Linked DNA regions of Danio rerio. The protein of the gene in region 2 binds, or shares a complex with, the protein of the main gene of each other region. Links are inferred from orthologs where the notes say so. Each region holds a gene or a part of one and is shown on either strand. Other genes may lie near its edges.

Region 1 (3,110 bases), on a different chromosome or scaffold from region 2:
CTATCTTACCAATTGCTGCATTCAAATCTGACAACACAAAAATCAAGAAAGAGATTGAGTCTTTGGTCTTTTGAGTTAGTTATGGAGTTACAATCAATCAAATAACACAGAAGTACTGGGATAACAGTTTATAGTTTAGAATAAACCACTGATGTTTATGGTAAAAATTAAAATTAACGTCATATACATTTAACTTGACGCTCAAAAATAAAGGTTGTAAGCAGTAATTACATTATTTAACCAATAGGTTGAATTCAACCAGCCATCAAAAATATGCCACTGAATAATAATAAAAAATGATCCATCTAGCAATGAAACATGAAGTTTTATGAGTAAATAACAAGCATTTATTGAAAACGAGACTAAAAATAAATATGGGTTGTACAAATTATAATGTTAGATTTCTACATTTAGTGTCATCAGCAACAGTAGCAGAAATTGTGAATCTTTCCACAGTACTGAATATTTTACCATTTATTTATATTTAGCTAATTATTTCTTCATTTTTTTTTTTTATAAATATAAGGGTTCTTACTTTTGTTTTTTTGAAACCAAATGTTTCTTGCAGTGCAGTTTTTGTAATAAAATGGAAAAGAAATGACATTTGTCTCCTCCCCTTTTTGGCTAGTCCGATCTGTGACTAAAAAAAACATTATATGATCCAAACCGTAAGATTTGTGATCTGTTACATCACTAATTATTAATAAAATGCACAAAACAAAAGCTACATATACTTAACTTTACCATAAGATCTTTAATTTCTCACTTTGGGAAAGTTTCATATGACATGACATACAAAACTACACAAATTCATGACAAACTCCCAAAAACCTTCCCAAATGCGTGTCTATCCACCACTCGTCCCAGTCTGGTAGAAAAGTACATGGTATTAGAAGTGCTGTAGCGCTTTAACCGAAGAATTGATTCTCCCCTGGAGTCTCCTGAATCTCCCAGAGTCACAACATCTGAGACGGGTACATAAATGTCTCTTCTGTGACCCCAAAAGCTAAGATGTGACACCTTTAATATGGTCTGTGTTGAATCCAAATACATCATGCCAACCACTCTTCTGACAAAGTGGCTTATGGAGTACAGCATGACTCCAGCAAACAAGGCAATGCCTATTGAGCGATTTAAGACCAACACTGATGCCTGGCCCTGCAGGTGGAGGTAATACACAGTGGGCAGCAGGACAACAGTGATGCCCGTCTGTAAGAGTTTGAGTCTTGAAAGAGCCCGCAGGCCCCTGATTAGTGGAAATGCATAGATTAGACTGTATTTTCTTGAGGCAAGGTCAGAGGAGAATGAGGCCGGGTGAATCCGCGTGGTGTGTGTGGATGTGTTGGGCATCTGTTTACCCATGTGTGCCAGGCCGTTGTTGATGTTGTATTGCATGCGAGCACTTGAAATAAGTCCTGAAGGATGGCATCGAAAGCCATATTGAGGGAAATGACGGGAAAGGTGGATTAATCTTGTTGACATCATCATCTGAGGAGACAGTAAGCATCACAACAGTAGTTATTATTAATGTTAATTATTAAAACAACACAAAATATTTTGATAATGTAACCATCATGACTATTGACTATTTGACCTTGTTTATTATGTTGATAAAAACAGTGCTTGACAAAGGCAGTTGTTGTGTTGGCTCAGATTATGCGTTCCAGCTTCTTATATGCGATAATCATAGAAAATACATAAGCATAATTAAATAACGCGCATTATTATTAAATATTATTTCAGTTTTGAATGAACTCACCATGTCCATACAAGTTCAGTGCATCGCGCACTTCTTCTGTGAAGCTGGACATGAGTTATATTATGTATCGTTTCAAAATAAAAGTCCTTAAATCAACGCTTGTCAAAATCGTTTTTGAAACAAGTTGTTAAAAATATTTTAGAGACATGGAATCTACGTGCACTTTTTGTGAATTAGAGAAGGAATCGATAAAACACCTGTTTGTTGAATGCACATATACCCAAATATTTTGGTTTGATGTTGAACATTTTATATTTAAACTTACTAAATTAAAAATTCAGTTTTCTTGTAAAAATATTTTTTGATATTCAATAATAACAACTAAACCTTGGAGCAAAATTTGTTTATTAATTTAATGATAATATATGGGAAGTACCATGTACACAAACAAAACTGATCCAATGATAAGCCTAATATTTATTTGTTTAAAACTTATCTTATGCATATTGAAACCCTACAAGACATAACAAATAAAAAAGCTATAAGAATGTGTGCAATTCTGAAATAATTTTTCTTATGCAATTTTTTGTAATTTATATATCCCTTATATATTTATATATACATATATCCCGTAATTTTATTTATTTTTTATTATTATTATTTACTGATTTGTTCCTTTGATGTGAAAAAGTAAGCATTTTATTTCTCATTTTGCATGACATTTTCCTTGTTATTAATTATTCGGTGTCATTAATATTTAATTAAAGTGAAAATAAAAACAATTAATAAGCATTTATATATTATTATTCGACACGTTATTTCTAATTTTGGCAAAAATTTTAGCATTAAAAAACAATTGATTGTTTCAGTACCATAAAAGTGTCGTGGGTAACATCAAGGGTGCGAATTACAGGGGGGTTGGAGGGTGGGGGGATTGACCCCTCATTAACACTTCTTTGTCCCCCCTGAAGGACATTAAAACAAGATGAATAGGGGGGGTCAGCTCTTTAATAGCTCTTTAATTAAATATTGAAAATAAAAAATTTATAACATAATAAATATACCCTTATAATGGTTCATACCATGTGTGAAAATATAATCGCCCCAATCAATACTAAGAAAAAATATCATTCAACAACAGTCTGAAACTGGCACCGATAGACATCTCAAGTTTTCACAAAACACTTCTTGTAAAATAGTTGTATTTTGACCTTCAGCAACTTCTAAAAAATCACTAAATATCAATACACTGAAAGCGTATACATTTTAATAATAAATGAGGTGTAATTTTAGTACATTAATACATTTGATTCACTGAAGAATGTATTACCAAACTACTATCAAAAAAGTTGACCCATTCGTTCGTCAATGTATAATTCGCACGCTGGTAACATCAATGTTTAAAGTAATT
Region 2 (3,663 bases):
TTTCAGACTCCTGCTCGGGTCTTTGATGATCATCTGTTGAGGTTTGCAGTTCTCTAGGTCCAGACTCCAGTCGAAACACTGTAGGAATCTGGCCCAATATGGGACAGGTCTCCTGAAGACCAGAAATCCACTGAGACAGAGTGGCTTGGTCACCCTGGCCGGCCATACACATAGCATAAACTGCCCCCTCTTCCACTGCAGAAACAAATCAGCAGAAATCATTGCTTAAAATTAGGTGATATGCAAACAATTCCATTAATAATCATATTAAGAGATTTATTAAGACTCCTCAGGTTTCACGGATGATTTATTATTCCATGCTGTGAATGCCATGTTTTTGTGTGTATTACTTTATATGCAAATGAGCTGCTTCTCCCCGCCCCCTTTCCAGAAGAGGGCCTTCACAGCTTGTGCCTCAGTTACTCTGACAACAACAAACAAAACATCTGTGCGGGTTTTAAAGTCCACATAAACCAAAAGCTGCAACCATTTTCTTTTGGTTTGTATCGTGCCAGTTCCTAAAGAAACTGAATATTAAATTAGAAAACAGCAGGCGTGGCTTGTTTTTTCTACTGCAAGCTGATTGGATATAGTAAAATAGGCTTTTTATTCAGAAAGATCTGGAAAAAGGTTTCGGGAGAGTTATTACAACCTAACAGACACCTCTCCTCACTATTTCTGTTTGTTGTCATGGTGCTGTTAACAGTTGAAGGGGCGTGGGTTAACGCCCCAACCACGCCCCTCCAACCAATACCCCAAACAGACATAATCTGAGAATTTATTTGAAAACAAAAAGGACGTGCATTTACAGATTTTAATTTTAGATTAATGACATGCACAGATGAATTGTTCACCACCAAATTAGCAATCTGAGCTAACTAAATCAATATGGTTAGTTTGATTTCATAAGTACTTTAAAGCCTTGCTGATTTAACTCTGTTACTAAGCACATAGATACAAAGTATGCACACAGAATTTGGCCTTCAGATGACTTGTTGCATAGAGTATTTTATTATTTTTTTTACATACACAAAAGGTTATGTAGTTTTAACACAATGTTGGTTGTGTCTGTGAATGTAAACAGTTGGGGAAGAAGCTGCATATGTGTCAGTCAGTATAATAGGTCTGTAAAACAGTGCTTCTTGGAATTAATAAATCGGGTCAGAATTGTTCCATATTATTAGATAATTACATTTTTTATAGATTTTGTAGATACACATATTAAACAGGTTCATAAATCAATAGAATACCATTTTAATATAAAGCATGTACAAATATATTAGCGTAATAGGAAAGAGGCCATTTACATGGCAACAAATCAAAGATGGGAAATATCTTCTGACCTTATTCTGCGCGTATGAGCAGGTGCAGCCAATTGAATCAAGAATAAGGTCAATATGTTTTGTGTATTTGTTTACATGACAACATTTTTTTAGGGACTGAAAGCACAGAAAAACAGGTTTCAACACAGAAGCGTTTAAAAAAGCTATCTTTGTTGTGATTCTGTAAACACCAGAAAACAAAAGTCTTAGTATATATAGAATGATATATATAGTATATAGCAATGGTCCTCAACCACCGGTACTGGTCCATGGATCAATTGGTACCGGGTCGCACAAGAAAGCATTCAGTATTTTCAATTTATTTATTATCTTAGTCTGATCGATCTTTTATTTTGAAAAATGACCGTATTCTTTCGCTTACTTCTCGGCCCAAATTTAACCCACAAGCAGCAAAATGAGTAAGAAACAGACGTTTTTGGAAAGTTTTTTTGCTAAAGGAAAAAGGCCCAGTGAAGGACCTGCAAACTGCCAAGAAATAGATCCACAACCCATTTACCAACAAATCAGGTGAATCCACTATGTCTGTGCAAGATCAACTACTGCAGATCGCAATTGACGGTGGCCTGTTAGCAGCCGTTCGCATATCGCATCTTATCTAGAGTTCACACAAGTTCGTTGTTTCCAATGGAGGTGTGCAGTTTGCACGCACAAGCAGCATGACGCACTTGCGCCTTCCAGACACACAATCGAATGAATTCTTCGAGCACACCTCGAGTCACGTGACAAGAATTGACCGATTGGCTTCAGCTTGTATGGAATATACACATTTCGGTAGACTAATTATCTCAGTCAAAAACAGAACACTCAAACACTGCAGTGCTTTGTAATCGTTTTCCATAAATAAAACTTGTATCAGAGTGGCAGCAATGTTTTTTCAGCTTGTCAATCCTCTGAGAAAATGGTTGATGGTCGCCTAGCAACCTACAACCTATGAAACACCGCTACACCCACCACCCACCCTTCCGGTCCGTGGTAAATTTGTCAAGCGTTGACCGGTCTGCAGTGGTAAAAAGGTTGAGGGCCCCTGGTGCAGTTGAAATGCTAATTATTAGCCTCCCTGAATTATTAGACCCCTTAAATTGGTTGCCCCCTGTTTATTTTTTTCCCCAATTTCTGTTTAACGGAGAGATTTCTTCAACACATTTCTAAACATAATAGCTTTTATAACTCATTTCTGATAACTGATCTATTTTATCTTTGCCATGATGAAAGTAAATAATATTTGACTAGATATTTTTAGGACACTTCTATACAGTTTAAAGCAGAGGTCATCAATCTCGATCCAGGAGGGCCGGTGTCCCTGCAGGGTTTAGCTCCAACTGGCCTCAACACACCGGCCTTCCAGGAACAAGTTTGGTGACCCCTGGCTTGAAGTGACATTTAAAGGCTTAACTAGGTTAATTAGGTTAACTAGGCAGGTTAGGGTAATTAGGCAAGTTATTGCATAACGATGGTTTGTTCTGTATACTATCGAAAAAATATATAGCTTAAAGGGGCTAATAATTGTGCCCTTAAAATGGTTTTAAAAAAATTTAAAACTGCTTTTATCCTAGCCGAAATAAAACAAATAAGAAAAAATATTATCAGACATACTATGAAAATTTCCTTGCTTTGTTAAACATCATTTGGAAAATATATAAAAAAAAAAAAAAATTACATGATAGATAAAGAGTACATGGTAGTATTGTTGCTTCTCTAGTGTATCCTACCACTTCATCTGCTATCCTATCACTTCAGTGCGGATTTACTACACATTACAACCAAAAGTGGAGACCCATCTTACACACACAGCAAATAACACACAAGTGCCTGTGCATTGTAAGTTCCCTACAGGTACGGTTTACCAACAAGGTGATAGCACAAACTACAGGCCTGGCGTACATAATACAGCATTTTTGCTGCTATGTAAAGATTGTGACATGAAGTGGAACTTTTTCAAAACGCAAGGGTAAAACGTTTGCATTTTTGGCTACATCATTGTCGTGTAAAGTTTAAGTTAATAAAGCAGTATGAGTCTCACCTTCATCTACATTGAAACTGTGATCGTCACCCATGTCTACATTCAGATCAAGCTCTACTCGCTGAGGGAAGAACAGACTCTGCTCTGGGCAGATCATCTCAGGGTCAATTTCTTCTTCAACCTGATGAAAAATCAGATGCTAAAACATAATCTGGAATGGAGATTTTTAAAGAATCAATTGATATTATTATTAAACATTGCAGTATTTATTAATTACTAGTCATTCCAAATTATTATTAAGGATTTAAATACAATCATGTTGCGTTGAAAATAGTTTTTACTGCATATAATATTTAAAAA

Evidence for each region.
Region 1: ecsit (region 2) and tmem186 share a complex: the UniProt entries of both Homo sapiens proteins name them as parts of the mitochondrial complex. The link is inferred for Danio rerio from reciprocal best matches to the Homo sapiens genes ECSIT and TMEM186.

What each region holds. Positions count from the first base shown.
Region 1 is NC_133197.1:27,568,171-27,571,280, reverse strand, and holds tmem186 (transmembrane protein 186), read right to left. Parts: upstream 1,792-3,110; 5' UTR 1,769-1,791; coding exon 1,760-1,768; intron 1,671-1,759; exon of another isoform or gene 1,595-1,670; intron 1,489-1,594; coding exon 811-1,488; 3' UTR 606-810; downstream 1-605. UniProt on the Homo sapiens protein: As part of the MCIA complex, required for efficient assembly of the mitochondrial complex I.
Region 2 is NC_133182.1:17,776,899-17,780,561, forward strand, and holds part of ecsit (evolutionarily conserved signaling intermediate in Toll pathway, mitochondrial), read right to left. Parts: intron 3,485-3,663; coding exon 3,364-3,484; exon of another isoform or gene 664-3,363; intron 603-663; exon of another isoform or gene 196-602; coding exon 1-195.